Danio rerio: one gene and its partners. The protein of the gene in region 4 interacts with the protein of the main gene of each other region in a pairwise test. Links are inferred from orthologs where the notes say so. Each region holds a gene or a part of one and is shown on either strand. Other genes may lie near its edges. The genes, in order: tacc3, trim2a, enox2 and cib3.

Region 1 (4,336 bases), on a different chromosome or scaffold from region 4:
TACCTGGGGTGCAGAAACAGGGGCTATGGTTGTGTTAGACTCTACAAGCTCTGATGTTGCCGCCTCCGTAAAAGCAGAAGATTTAGGTGGGGAATTCGCCATTTTATTGGAGCCCTGGAAAGGGTTGATGGCATCAATATTGTCAAGATCAAAGGAATAGGCCCCTCTGCTCTGAACAGGCATGTCATCATCAGGTAAAGCAACACTGTTACATTCTATGTCAATTGGTGTGGTGTGAGTGTTATTCATCAATGAACTCCTGAAAAACACAAAAGGAGGTTTTACACGTTAGCATATTTGTCCATTAAAAACAGGTTAAGAGGCTTACATAAAAATATTTTAAAAATTAATCTTTAACCTAGTTTTCTTATGAATACCTTGTACTATTAGAGTGGTACATTAAAGTTGACAAAATATTGTTTTAGCACTGAAATATTGTTTTGCAATGTGGGCATCAACAATAGTCAAGAAGAAAAAGTAATGTCAAATAGGAATCCTATTTGAGCATGCACCACAGGTCAAACATGATATGTGGATTCAATTATAAAGTTGAATCATTATATTGTGAAAGATTTGAAAGAAATATGTCCTTTCACCGTGAATACATCCCAAGCAAGTTTACAGCTTTCAGACAAAATTTTTGAAAACCCATGTTAATATTATTTGGAAACAGGATCATTATGTTTTACCCATCATTTTACACCAGAAGTCTCTGGGTCTGTTCGAAGAAGTGCCTTTGGTGGAAATTAATATAAATAAAAGGTACACCAAATACACAAATGGTCATCAACAGTCCTGAACAATTGGAGATGCAGGTAATTTACTCACTGGTCAGAAAGGCCTGTGAGAGTCTCTAGTGCATTTTTGTGATCATCCTGGCTGATCGGCCTACTGGTGCGGCTTGGAGACATGATCTTCTTTGTCACTGGATCTCGCCGTGGGGTTTGAAAACAAACCTATATAAGAGAAATTAAGTAACGTGCAGGTTAGTCTAAGCTGTAGTACAAGGCCAAGAAAGGGTTCAATTATTACATGCAAAATAAAATTTATAATAGTACAAATAAATACTGCATTTGTGAATATTAAAGAATCCAAAATAAAATGTAGCATGGCTTCAACAAAATCGACCTGCCATTCATAAGTGTTTTTGTTTCTTGAAAAGTCACTCAGATGTGCTCATATGACACTAAAGAAAGTGTCTATAGAAAAGGTAAATTTACAGTCAAAGGAACAAGTTACTTTTTAAAATGGAAAACACTTGGTTTATAACCAGTGATTTTATTACACATTATACAGTACAGAAAAAATACTGCATGGAAATTTGTCAAGCCCACCTTTGCTGCTCTAGGAGCAGTCCTGTTAATGTTGTCAGCCTGCGACTGCCGCAAAATCGAGGGTCTGCCAGTCGGCTGATCCAACATGAAAATGTCACAAGCGAATTCAGAATTGCTGTTCATCCGTACAGCTCCCTGATTCTCCTTCAGCGCGTCAGAACTCATACTGTAAAACAGAGACACAGAAAATGACAACATGGGTTTTGGAAAGTCACGCCCAGCAGGCACCATAAACAGCTGCTTTTGCTGATAAGACCCGGAGGCGGGCATCTGACCCAACACCCAGAGACCCTAGTCCTGAGACACTTCAAATCTGTTGCATCTCCTTTCAGACTAACCCACTGTGACTAATAACCCAAACCAGTGACAATTTAGCCTTGTGCTGAGGGAACAAAGTGCTTCTTTTTAGTGAAAAAAAAAAGAAAAGAAAAAAAAAAAAATATATATATATATATATATATATATATATATATATATATATATATATATATATATATATATATATATATATATATATATATCATGATCAAACACTATGCCAATCCCCTGATACTGTGATTTTTTTGTGAGAATAAGTAGGAACAAGGAAGAGATTGACAAACAAAATCAAAAAACAAAATCATTACCACTTCTGGCCTTATCTGTTCTTGCCTGGATTCTGCTCAACTATGTAGGCCTGACAATATGATTGTCAGCTTTGTATTTGACAGGTACTTCTGACAGCTTCTCTCTCCTACAGCTTACCTGGACAGGTGATAAACAGCTCACTATCATAAATCAAATGATCACATTTTAACCTGAACAAAAGTGAGATATCAGATCAATCCCTCACTTCAGTGGAAAAATATAAATAAACCACATAACGTTTAGCACAGCCAGAGAATTGAGTGCAAGACAGAATTTAGCCTAACAGCTCACATACCCACGTGGATGACAAAACAACATTGAATACATGAATGAATAAATAAATATAGAATTTGTTATTTATTTAAAAAAAAGTTTTTAATGCAAATAAATTAACGTTATCTCCAACAGTGCTCAAAATCAATAAGTTACACGTAACGTCATACTTAATGTTAATTCTACATTTTTATGCCCTTTCCATACGAACTTTAGAAATTTAACTATAACAGAAAAAAAATCTCTAACGTTACATAAAGGATAGCTAACAATCACTTATCGCAATCTTAAAATAACAGGATTAAGTTAACGTTACATCAGAATGTTCGACGTTCTGGCAACACTCACGTAGCAAAAAAGTCAAAGCGATTAAGTTACCTTTATGGTTTCATATCGCGCATTAATAACTTACAATCCTATAAACGTGGCTCGGGGGCGGTTTTCTAAAATACGTACCTTATTCAAACTGCTCAAATCTAATAAAAACCGTTTTCTTCGCAGAGACAGTCAGCTCGACACACAGCATAGAGATGTTGTTGTTGCATTTATAACTTTCCCCGTTTGAAACGGTTCAAATTTAAACGGCGCACTCTCAGCCAATTAAATGCAAGAATCAACTCTCGTCAGGCGGGGCGATTATACGAATCGACCAATAGCATCGCACGTCAATCTGCGCTTTTGTACAGGATATACATTTGACAGACATCCAAACCAGCCAATAGGGTAAGCCGTTGACGCAGACGGTTTATGAAGATAAATAACCTCATTTAACCCTTTTACTTGTTGAAAACAAGTGTAGATTTGACAGTGTAAACTACTGCTGTTGTTGTAGCTTAGATATTAGATATAACTGTTTTGTTTTCGTTTACAGTGTTTCGCTGTACTGAAGATGATACTTTAGTTTTGAGTTGTCTTGAAAATGGAAAGTTATCAGGGAAGAGTGATGTTTTGAACCACAATGTACTTTCACTGTATGTTTTCTCCATACAATGAACGTGACGACAAGCTTTGCAACAGGGTATGTATTAAATATGAATTTCGTTTCATATTGCAATAACAGTGCATGTTATGGACATAATTGTCTTTTATAATTTTAGTTTTTGATAATATATTTGCTGTTAATCAACGCATACATTAAATCATTTTGTTGTTGATGCATTTTTTTAAGCTTTAATAATAACTATTTTTTATTATTACCATCAGACATGGCAATACATGCATGTGATATACTTGTCATTTAAATGACAATGTACTTGTTGTTTTGAATTTAAAAAAATGTATTGTAAAGAAATTGTTTGTATAGATTTCAATTACAATGCATATTTATTTCAATATATTTTTGTCATGCAAAAATCACTTCAGCATCATTTACGGACGCAAGTTTTTACAGTTTTATTAGTTTCTAAGCTAATACATACAGAAAATAATAATATTAATATAAAGGTAAAAGATTGCAGAGGCACATGCTTATGCATAATTAGTTTGATCACAAATACTCCATTTTCTTCTACAAAAAGTGATTTTTTTAGAATTAAGTGGTGATTTTAAAAAAGAATCCTCAAAATTTCTTTCACAAGGTAAAAACCATTTACCATGAATTTGGTAAAACGCCTTGAAATATATATGTTTATTGCTGTTTTTGTGCATTATTATGAACATAATTATCTTTTTAAAAAGTATAGTGGGTACAATAACTTTTTTTTATGATTTACCTAGCTTTAATTACCCATTTTTTTAATCATTACCAGCAGTCATGGCAAGCAAAAGCATACATTTGATGTACCTGTCAATTTTGAGAAATTTTTAAATTTAAACGTAAAAAAAACACGTTTAAAAGTTTATAGTGTTTCCATAGATTTCAATTACAATACAAATTTTTCTCAGAATGATTTTTAATCACTTTTGGACTCCAGATTTATACAGATTTGTTCTTATCGATATTAATAAATATAGAAAGTAATAAAATTCATATATAGATAAAATGTTTACAGAGGTTTATACCCAATTTGTTGATTTTTATTCTGAATTTTCCGAATCAAGCAGTGATTTAATTCCCTTCTGTTAAAACCTTTTACTCTAAATATGCCAAAAAAGCATCAAAA
Region 2 (3,568 bases), on a different chromosome or scaffold from region 4:
TTTATTTATTTATTTATTTTTAATCGGCCACATAGTTAATTTACTTTACTCAATATATTTTTAGGGCATCGGGCTTTACTATTATTTGAAGTCAACTAATTGATTTTTCGGCATTTCCAAATAAAAAAAAATAAAAAAAATTTTTTTTTTGGTGGACACAGCGCAATATATCATGACATTTGATTAAAATATTAACAAATTGGCAATATACTTCAGAACAGACATTTTACCTTTACAGAATGATTGTGGAAATCGGTCACAATGACTTCATTATTCTGATTCACTGCTGCAAAGTGAGGACCTATAAAAAGGAAAGAAATAAGTGTTAGCTTGCCCTTTTATGTGCTTCCAGAAATTACTTTGTCATAATTACAACTTTGACCCTGTTTCTGCCTGGTATTACCATGCATTGTAAGTGACAATCACAAGCAGTTATTCTTATCACGCATTACCATTTCTAGCTGATATTAACATCAGTTTAAATGCATTTTTAGTGACCTTAACTTCAAAACACTCTACACCAATTTTGCAGGAGGGCTCATTGTGATGTTGTGGCATTCCAAATTCATAACACGTCTTTGATTCAACCACGTGACCAAAATTAAATCAAATAACCAAAATCAAATCAAGAAAGCAATCTGATCAAATGTATTTACTCTGAAAGTGGTGTAAAGTGGACAAGCTCAAAAGTTGTAGACACCATTTTGTTTGTGTGCATATGTAACATACAGTATGTAAAATATACATCAAATACTTGTTTATATTAGTAAATATAAATGACTGTAATATTTTAATGTTAATAGAACACAGTATAGAAGTGTAAAAAACAAGTTAGTACAGCAAAATTTCTTTCCTACATCATATTTAATTATGACTGCTCAGATATAAAATCTTTTAACTTCTTATAATTTGGGAGACTATTCACTTATTTATTTATTTATGACAACTTGTACAAGAAGGCTGTATCCATTAAGTCCCCATATGTAATGAAAGCAAGCACCTGCAAATTGCTTGTCACTGTTGCCTCGGTTGCCAAACTTGGAGACCAGTTTTCCATTAGGCTGGAAAATGAAGACGCAACAAGATTTATTGTCTACCACAATGATGTGGCCATTTCTGTCAACCGATACACCCTTAGGACCCATGAGCTTCCCTGAGCCAATTTTACTCTAGAAAAAAGGCACAAAAGAAAAAAAAATCAATATGTTACATGCTTTAAAGAGATAGTTCACCCAAAATTGAAAAATTCTGTCATCATTTACTCCCACTTCACTTGTAACAAAAGTGTTTGAGTTTCTTTTCTCTACAAAAAATTATATGTATATATTTTTTTTAATTGTTAGAAACCATTGACTTCCATCGTATTTGTGTTTCTCCTGCTATGGAAGTCAATGATTTCTAACATTCTTCAAAATATCTTGAAGTTTTCCTGTGTTTAACAGGAAAAATAAATGGATAGAGATTTAGAACCACAAGAGAGTAAGTAAATAAGAGTACATTTTCATTTTGGGTTAACTATTAGTTTACGGACAACATTTTTATGTGTATTAAAAACAATTCCAAAAGTAACTGATATTATCAAGTATCTGGTAACAACAAATGAATCTGAATTTAAAAACAATATCACATAAATTGTTACAACTTTTAAAATAAAACTTAAGCAGATGCGTATACTGTACCTTGAACTTGCCATCACTGGAAAAAATGCTGACCCATTTGTTGTCATAGTCAGCAATGATGATGTCACCACTGGGGTGCACAGCAACACCAGTAGGCCGTTGAAGCTGTCCCGGTGATCGGCCTCTGATTCCGAAACGACTCTTAAACTGGCCATCATTTGAAAATATCTGCAAGAACACAATTTACATTCAACACTAAATGAATCATTTCTTCTATGACAAATGTCAGTAATTTGAACAGGCATTAAGCAACCCACAGAAAACAAGCAAAAAAAAAAAAAAAAGATTTTTAAAGTGTGGAATTTATACCTGAACACACTGATTGTTACTATCCGCTATTAAGACTTTGCCAACAGAAGAAGCAGCAACTCCCTGGAGATTGGTAAATTCACCCTTATTTCTGCCTTTTGTTCCTTTGGGACAAAATATTTTTTATTAACATAAGCATTAAATGCAAATTAAATGCAAAACATTCCCCACTGAGGTTTCAAATGATTAGAAACAAAACAAATATATTCAGCCCAAATTTTCAGCATTCATGCAATCTTGGACCAAGTGTTTTGGTGCAGATCTGAGAGTAATTGCCATGTACATGTATTACCAAAGAAAGTGAGCTAAGGGAGAAAAGTAGTTGATTTTCTGACTCAATTATGAAAGAATCTTAAATATGAGGTGTAAACCAGGCCTTCAAGATGTACACTCCTGATCAAATTATTAAGACCAATAGACCAGTTTAACACAATAATAAGTGAAGTTTTGCAAACTAATTTCTAGAGGTGCATGTCATGGGATTGACTGCAGCTGGTCCCTATCGCTAATCATTAGCTAGCCAATCGGATCATTCCACATTCGTTTTGGAAGACACACACACTTTTTAAGCAGCACACACACTCACCCCACTTAGTTTGAACTTCTATCATGGTACTCCCCTTCACGTGACTGCCGTTCCTCTGACTCTGGTCTTTTAACAGTCCACTCCACTCGTCTGCACTCTATGGGTGACCGGGCTTTCTCATCCCTGGCTCTGAGTCTCTGGAACTCTCTCCCTTATAACATTAGACTAGCTGAATCTTTTAAATTGTTTAAATCATCCTTGAAAACTCACTACTTTACACTCGCCTATTCATGAGGAGTGCATTCCTGGTTTGTTTTATGTTTTAAAATATTTTAATGTTTTATCATTCTGAATGTTTTATCTTAAATAATGCAATTTTACTGTTATTCTAAACTGTTTTATATTTGTATGTTTTTGTGTAAAATGCTTTTGAAAATTATTATCATAAAATGTCTGTCAGTTCGAGACCATGAATGCCTTTCGGGAAGCAATCTACACCACATGGAATTAATGTTCCCAACTGCCTCCAGGAAACTGTTGAATAAAGCATGCCAAAATGAATGTTAAAGTGATAATGACATTGCCTGCTCTGTTTTTTTGTCATGTGCTTCAAGCTCTTCTTTTGGCATTACAACCTGTTGTGATCCACCAGAAACAAAATGTGAATACTTGTCATTTTCCACCTGGTCTTAAGACTTTGAACTAGAGTATACAGTAGGTATAGTTCACCCCAAAATGATCATATTTGTTGTTTACTCCTCTATTTGATCCAAAGCAGTTTGACATATATTTTTAAGAATAATCAGAAGATTTTTTTTTGAAGAAATTTGGAAACCTGTAACCATTATTGTCCATAGTTTTGTTTTTCCTGTTATGGAAGTCAGTTGTAACAGGTTTGCAGCTTTCTTCAAGATAGATTTAATGTTCAACAGAAGAAACTCAAAGTTTGGAACCACTTAAATATGCGTAAATTCAAAAGGCTGAGTGAAATATCCCTTTAATGGCCCATATGGATAATATGGTTCAGTACACTTTTATGGCTGTTTCCACTGTC
Region 3 (3,568 bases), on a different chromosome or scaffold from region 4:
TTTGACCTTAAAATGGATTTAAAAAAATTTAAAACTGCTTTTATTCTAGCCAAAATACAACAAATAAGACTTTCTCCAGAAGAAAAAAATATTATCAGACATACTGTGAAAATTTCCTTGCTTTGTTAAACATCATTCAAGAAATATAAAAAAACAAAAATATATAAATAAAAAGGGGGCTAATAATTCTGACTTCAACCGTACATGCAACATCTTAGCTTCACTTTTCTATAGCAGAATTCGGAGACACACATATTTTTTTTTCTTGCGTGATTTTTACCTTGCTTGCTCAAACACACACTGAAGTTCAAGACTACCCACTACTACCCAGCAGACAGTCTACTAATACTCAAACAGACCATCAAAATGAAGGGCCCTATCATACACCTGGCGCAAGGTATGACACAAATGTTGTTTGATAGTCTCAGCTTGATGCAAGTGTAATTTTGACGTGTTGCACCATGCTGTTTAAATATTAAATGTATTTGCACTCATTTGAGCGCCCATAGGCGTTCTGGTCTAAAAATTGAGGTGTGTTAAGGTGCATTACTGGCGGGTTGCTATTTTGAGGATCTGAAATAGACTGCTTAATAGACTCAAATGCTCTTTGGTGTGACGCAACTGACTCTTAAAGGGAATGGGAGATGAGACTCTGATTGGTTTATTATCAAAACACACCTATAAGTCATTAAAAGAATAAGCTCAACCCTGTTAGACCATGTGCCATGGCACAAAGCAGGTTTTTCCATCCTTTAAATAGCAAACGTGGATTCGGACACGCTCTTAATGCTTTGAACTTTGCGCCAAGATCGTTAAAATAGAGTAATGTTAGCGATAATTTAATTTAGAATTTATAATTATTATTTTTGTATTACTTCCAAATTGCTTTAAATACACATGTACAATCCTGTCCTGCTCACACCACTTGCTGAGGAAAGCTTTCAGTCATATCAAGTATAAACAAAATCAACCTTCTGTTCCATGTTAAATAGTGTTTTTATGTTGCTACCAATAGAAATTAAGCCGCTAATTATACACCAGATTGGGCCATTATAAACAAGAAAAATTGTGGATTGTTTTAATGAATTGGCTTATAATGGCTTATAATGACCATTTTAAGCTTTTTGTTTAAATAATTATGTTCCTTTTATTCCTTTTATATTAGTTTTTGCAGCACCAATGAGATTGTGGAGAAATTCATATTTCTATTGTTTCTACCAGGGATAAAAAAAAAAACAAACAAAACAAACTGTTACCTGCCAGTTGTGAACCGCTGAAATCTCAGGCAGACTCGGAACAGATTTTACTAGTAGAGAAAGCTGAGCATTTAGACTATCATACCATAAACATTTTCTAAAAATAAAGAGGACTTCAAAATACTTCAAGTACACATGGGAAGCTTGCAGGGAAAGGGAAATGGGCAGAGGAAATGGAAAAGACTAATCTCTAACAGAAACATTCTACATAATTAATTTCAAAAGATGTGAAGCATGACCACATTCACTTAAAGAAATGAAAACACCAACCTCTGCTTGCTTTCGCCACATGTCCAGGTTCTTGCGCTGGGCTTTGGAGAAATGGTCCCATGCCTTTTGTTTGGAAGAAGCGTGGAATACAGACACAATCTGCTCAACTGTGGCAGGGGATGCAGGGGCCAGTATGGGCGTCCAAAGAAAGAAAGAGAGAGAGGGGCGATTGGGAAGGTGCAGAGGAGTGAAAAAATCTGTGTCAGGTTGGAAGGAAGTGATGTTCTTTCCCCCCTACCCCCCCTCTAAACAGCACAAACACTGAGCTGGGGTGAGTGGTGTACTGTAGCTGGACGAGATCTGCATTAGATCACAATTATGGTAAAAAGGTCGTCCACTCAAAAATTAACCCTCATCTAGTTCCAACCATGAATTACCGCATGTCTTTGACTGCTGTGTATTTGTTTAACCAACACTAGGGGCCCAAATTTCATCTTTTGTTCTCTACAGATGATAATTTTCCAAGTTTGGAACAACATGAGGATTAGTTAATTATACCATTTTCAATTTAAGGTGAACTATTTGTCTCTGAACTGTTGGATGATTCTCCTTTTGCGGTCTTTGGAAGAAAGAAAATTTGTAATACTTTCTAAGAAGCCCATGTTCATAATTAATTGCAACTCTGTTTTAATTTATGGTAACACTTTATTTTTATGGCCCATTTGAGTATTAGTAACCTGTCTGCTTAATATATGTTGATTTTGTTGCTAAACAGATATTTAACTGACTATAAAAAACTTTGCAAGTACATGTCAACTTACAGTAACCATAACCCCAACCTAACAGTCTACTTATAATCTAATGAGAATTAGCTGGCATGGAGATGCAATGTAACTTAAATTCAGCAAACGGACCATCAAAACAAAGTATGACCTAATTTATTAATAATCAAGCATAACAATTCAAGAAATGTATCTACCAAAAAGACACAACCTATACCGATAAAACCTACTGTATGTCAATAATAGTTACAACTACATTTGTAAGTGCTGTTAATACATATTGACTTGCATTTCAATAATTGCATTGGTGTTGCATTTAAATTTTTCAAGTTCATAACACCGATCATGATTCATATGGACATTCATAAGGATTTTGTAAACATCTACTTGTAATATTACGTAAATGTCTTAATGTATGTCTACTTAACATCAATATTAAACAATTTGATGTTGAAAACATGTCTCATTTGTAATATTACTATTATAATAATATAATATCACTCTTAAAATATGTCAATTTTACATTTCTGTGTCAATTTAAACATAAGGTAATGTACTTTTCATAAAACCACACGTTAAAATATGTAAAAAAACGAATAATTATGATGCATGATTAGATAACATTTGCATTTGGAAAACTACATTTTATTTTCACTACTTAGAGCAGAGATGTCGAAGGCCCAAAGCTAGCCCATGGTAAGCTTTGATTTGGCCCACCATCTCATCTGAAAAGAGAATGATGGGGAGCATTTGGGAGAATCCATTTAACAAAGACTGTCATTATGAATTAAACGTGATCTTTTTGTCTTTTATAGTTTAATAGCAAACTGAAATTAAGCGTTTCAATAAAATGCTGTAAGTAAGTAAGTAAGTAATGTGTATTTATATAGCGTATTTATTGTGTATGGCCATACATCCAAAGCGCTTCGCTATAATGAGAGAGGGTCTCTCCACACCACCACCAGTGCACTGCATCCACTTAGTTGATGCTATGGCAGCCACAGGAAAACGGCACCAGTGGAATTCGGTGGATGGGAGTTATTGGGAGGCCATGATCTTAAGGGATGATGGAGGGAATTTGGGACACTGGAGTTACACCCCTACTTTTTGCGAGAAGTGCCAAGGGATTTTTAATGACCACAGAGAGTCAGGACCTCGGTTTAACATCTCATCCGAATGACTAAATAAATCTGATTTTTAATGTAAATACTGTCTCTTGACAAATACAGGACAAATACACATAACATTGTGAGCAAATCAATGCAAAAGCGTTACGTGTTGCTTTTTGCCATTAAACTCCAATATATATATATATATATA
Region 4 (4,226 bases):
TTGATGGCGTAACTGTAGCTGTATCCTATTTAGGCTACACAAAACAGAAACATGATTAAAATACATAAAACCATGATTTCAGAGTATTTGTACAAGTCGGGATTCGAACCCAAAACATCATGCTAAGCATAGAATCAATTAGCAAACCCACAGAGCTCTAAGCCATATGAGACAGAGATAATTTGGAGACCTTGGCAGTCAAATTAGGATTCGCCAGGTCTCGAAACGTTTCTAAGCTGATCGATGCTTTGAATCGCTTTAGTCACGTAACTAGGTGTTTCGAAACACTTTAGTCACGTGACTTGGGTGCTTCGGATCATGCTTCGGTGCAGTGATTCGAAACACTTGCGCTTCGAGATCTCGACACTGTGTCGAAACATCAGTTTCACGTCAGCCAACCCTAAGTGACTGTATCATCATCAATAACACTACCTGTTTAGCAAAAACGTTAAAAAAAACTTAATCTTACCAATGAAATGTTCTGCCTTTGTGCTTTGTTTTCTTTGTTTGCTCATTACTACACCCATAGACAGCGCTAAAGTCCCGCATCTTCACGTAATAACACTGTCTTGACTAGTGCGGTTGAATGACATTTGTCCTGGGAGCACTGTACCAATGTGAAAGCGCTATAAACACATGCTCAGGGTCCCTATGCGATATCTAGTGTATATATCTATGTCACAAATTGAGAAGCGGGGAAAGGAGGCGGGGTGGAGGGACAACACGGGGAATCCTTCACAAACTGAGGAGCGATCACAAACCGAAAGCGGCGAGAGCGTCAAAGTAGCCAGAAGTCATTCATTTTTTAATGAGAACCGTCTTCATTGGCTATGATGCAGTTCGGCGGCAAGCAATCAGAATGAAGTAGTCCACCGCTTGAGAGGAGTTCAGAGAACACAGACCTGTGAACTTTGGTTCCGACCACAGTTGTTCCCAAGAGTTTGATTATTGCGGTTCCTGGAATTTAAATTTTTGAAAATCGCGACGACGTGGGGCCCCCTAATCACGCGGGGCCCCCCCGTGGTGCGTGCCCTGCAGGTCCGTCCGCTACGCCACTCGGAGTAATACGGAAGAGTGAGAAGGCTGTACAAATGCTGTTATTGCAGAACATGGCATGGCTATCAGCCAATAAGATTTAAGAACCAGACAGAACTGTTGTATAAATGTGTGTGTGTGTGTGTATGTGTGTGTATATATATATATATATATATTTACATTTACATTTAGTCATTTAGCCGACGCTTTTATCCAAAGCGACTTACAAATGAGGACAAGGAAGCAATTTACACAATTATAAGAGCAACAATGAATAAGTGCTCTAGGCAAGTTTCAGGTCTGTAAAGTCTAAGGAAAGCATTAGTAATTTTTTTTTTTTTTTTTTTTGTGGTTAGTGGAGGAGTCTGAGAGGTAGTTGCATATTACTAAGGAAAGTAGAGACTAAATAGTTGAGTTTTTAGTCGCTTTTTGAAGACAGGGAGTAATTGTCGTTCTGATACAGTTAGGGAGTTCCTTCCACCAACTGGGCAGATTGAGCGCGAGCGTTCGGGAAAGTGATTTGTTCCCTCTTTATACTCTTCATTCACAGAACGTAAGTTTCTGGAGGGCACATAGATCTGCAGAAGTGAGAGCAGATAAGAAGGGGCGCAGCCAGAAATCGCTTTGTAAGCAAACATTAGTGCTTTGAATTTGATGCAATCAGCAACTGGCAGCCAGTGCAAACGAATGAGTAGCGGAGTGACATGTGCTCGTTTAGGTTCATTAAAGACCACTCGTGCTGCTGCGTTCTATATAAAGATATAATTTGTTTGTTTTATTGATTGACGATGTTTTCAATCTTTATTTTATATTTAGAACAAACTTTTTTAACTTTCACTATTGATTAATTTAATGCAAGCTTGCTAAATAAAAGTATTAATTTCTTACATTTAAAAAATGTACTAAAACCAGACATTTGAATGGTAGTTTAGCCTGCAAAATGCAAACAAAGAAACAAAAACTAAATTTAACAGAACATTTTTTATTTTTTGTGTCTGTAGATATTACAAGCAAGGTTTAACGGTCAAGATAATATCGAGGATCGATCTTCAAATAATTATGGTTAGCACTTACAGTCATGAACAAGCACAGATGCTCTGTTGGTCTGATTCTCTCATTGTGTATATGAGCGCTGAATATTATTGTACAGTGTATATTTGCAGTGTAACATGACGCTCGTCTCCCCTGCTCTCCACTTGCACTCCCCTTGACCGACGGGCCGCATTCACGCCGGCTAAATGATGAAATGCTGCCATTATTGGAGAACTAAAGGCCTCGCAGCGGCCGACACCTGATCCTCCATGTCTCACTGCAGCCTTTTGTGCCAGTTTTTCATATCTGAAATATCTGCAGGCATTCGGCTGCAGTGCACAGTCTGCCATGGCACTGCGAGAATGGGGAACAAGCAGACCATCTTCACATCCCAGCAGCTGGACGCATATCAGGTAAGTCTTGTCAGGGTTTTATAAATATATATATATATATATATATATATATATATATATATATATATATATATATATATATATATATATATATATATATATATACAGTTGAAGTATTATTAGGCCTCCTGAATATTATTTTTTCCCAATTTCAGTTTAATGAAGAGATTTTAACACATTTCTAATCATACTAGCTTTAATAACTCATTTTTAATAACTGATTTCTTTTATCTTTGCACATATTGTTTGACTAGATATTTCTCAAGATGCTAGTATTCAGCTTAAAGTGACATTTAAACTCTTAACTAGGTTAATCAGGGTAATTAGGCAAGTCATTGTATAACAGTGGTTAACATTGTATAATATTGCTTAAGGGGGCTAATAATATTGACCTTAATATGGGTTTAAAACAATTAAAAACTGCTTTTATTCTAACCAAAATAAAACAAATAAGATTTTCTCTAGAAGAAAAAATATTGTAGGAAACACTGAAAACTTTCTTGCTCTGTTTAACGTGGGAAATATTTAAAAAATGAAAATAAAATTCACAGAAGGGCGAATAAATTTGACTTTAACTGTATTTATTATTATATTTGGATATTGTTTTTAAGTTTGTTTTTAATGTAAAAGAGGTTTGTATAATGTAAAAGAGGCTCTTATTGTGTAAAACAGTCTCTTATGCTGCATTATAGGCTACTGTAAGAAATGCTAGTGTTTTTCCCATACTGATAAACTTCCGGTGACCTGTTATTGTGCATTTGTTTTTCCGTTTTATACGGTTCCTTTTACAGCATCAATGTTGTAATGTCATTAAAATACATTCAGTTAAATAAACTTTGACATTTATTTAGTTGCTCAAGCGTAAAACGAGACAAAAAGCCGTTTGCTCGCACACGCCAGTCAGAATCAGCAGGTTAGCGCTGAAGCTCCATTGAATATACTAGGGTAAAACAAATGCTCATATTATAAAGACATGGCGGGGAAAATGTAATTTAATGCAGCGCTTCTTGTACAATCTGAGAACCACTTTATATCAGATATCACTCAGCCAGAGGAGATCGCTGATTTTTAAAGAAAACTGACCTTAAATGTGCAGATTTTTGTATTGGCGTCGAGTTGACTGGAAGCGATTTACCCAGGTTACTGGCAAATTAAAAGTCCTATTAGCATGCTTCGGCATATACCCTATTAGTGCACTGTAAAAAAAAATGTAAATACCGTGGGAAAAAAATGGAAATGTTTTTTAAATAGTAATATAATAGTAATTTTCTACATTAATATATTTTATAATTAGTGATATAACGGATTACAAATCTCATGGTTCGGATCAAATACGGTTAATAGGTGCGTTCGACATGAAGCACGGCTGCAGCCAGTGATCTGCGAGATTAGCCGAGCGGGGGCGGAGTTGAAAACGGAGCTGTCAAGCCAGACAGCCGGACACTTCAAAGTTGCTGCAGTCATGATGAACGATCGCATGGCGTCATCATCATTTTTTTTTAGAACAAAAGACTTACAGTACAAATAAAACAGAAAACAGTCTCTACAAACTATAGTTCATTTTTAAACAATATGGGTATTATGAATTAAATATATAACAATCGCATGAGAGAAAAGGGAAGGGATAAAGGGAAGCAAGAGGGCAATATAAACATTAAAACGAACTGGGGCCTGTTTCAGTAAGGAGGTTCAAACAACTCTGAGTTTAAACTTGAACTCTGAGTTGATTTACCGAGAGATTAAAAA

What was found.
Region 1: the proteins of cib3 (region 4) and tacc3 interact in binary tests that used the Homo sapiens proteins (3 or more experiments, as listed by UniProt). The two-hybrid records come from large-scale screens. The link is inferred for Danio rerio from reciprocal best matches to the Homo sapiens genes CIB3 and TACC3.
Region 2: the proteins of cib3 (region 4) and trim2a interact in binary tests that used the Homo sapiens proteins (3 or more experiments, as listed by UniProt). The two-hybrid records come from large-scale screens. The link is inferred for Danio rerio from reciprocal best matches to the Homo sapiens genes CIB3 and TRIM2.
Region 3: the proteins of cib3 (region 4) and enox2 interact in binary tests that used the Homo sapiens proteins (3 or more experiments, as listed by UniProt). The two-hybrid records come from large-scale screens. The link is inferred for Danio rerio from reciprocal best matches to the Homo sapiens genes CIB3 and ENOX2.

Annotation. Positions count from the first base shown.
Region 1 is NC_133188.1:39,351,362-39,355,697, forward strand, and holds the start of tacc3 (transforming acidic coiled-coil-containing protein 3), read right to left. Parts: upstream 2,808-4,336; 5' UTR 2,691-2,807; intron 2,079-2,690; exon of another isoform or gene 1,961-2,078; intron 1,501-1,960; 5' UTR 1,500-1,500; coding exon 1,335-1,499; intron 957-1,334; coding exon 829-956; intron 260-828; coding exon 1-259. Other genes in the region: mfsd2aa (sodium-dependent lysophosphatidylcholine symporter 1-A), read left to right, coding at 3,193-3,252. UniProt on the Homo sapiens protein: Plays a role in the microtubule-dependent coupling of the nucleus and the centrosome. Involved in the processes that regulate centrosome-mediated interkinetic nuclear migration (INM) of neural progenitors.
Region 2 is NC_133176.1:26,945,782-26,949,349, forward strand, and holds part of trim2a (tripartite motif-containing protein 2), read right to left. Parts: intron 2,093-3,568; coding exon 1,989-2,092; intron 1,848-1,988; coding exon 1,680-1,847; intron 1,170-1,679; coding exon 1,001-1,169; intron 302-1,000; coding exon 231-301; intron 1-230. UniProt on the Homo sapiens protein: UBE2D1-dependent E3 ubiquitin-protein ligase that mediates the ubiquitination of NEFL and of phosphorylated BCL2L11. Plays a neuroprotective function. May play a role in neuronal rapid ischemic tolerance.
Region 3 is NC_133189.1:27,720,617-27,724,184, reverse strand, and holds part of enox2 (ecto-NOX disulfide-thiol exchanger 2), read right to left. Parts: intron 1,634-3,568; coding exon 1,527-1,633; intron 1-1,526. UniProt on the Homo sapiens protein: May be involved in cell growth. Probably acts as a terminal oxidase of plasma electron transport from cytosolic NAD(P)H via hydroquinones to acceptors at the cell surface.
Region 4 is NC_133177.1:58,532,995-58,537,220, forward strand, and holds the start of cib3 (calcium and integrin-binding family member 3), read left to right. Parts: upstream 1-1,389; 5' UTR 1,390-2,336; coding exon 2,337-2,480; intron 2,481-4,226. UniProt on the Homo sapiens protein: Acts a an auxiliary subunit of the sensory mechanoelectrical transduction (MET) channel in hair cells. Plays a role in regulating hair cell MET channel localization and function.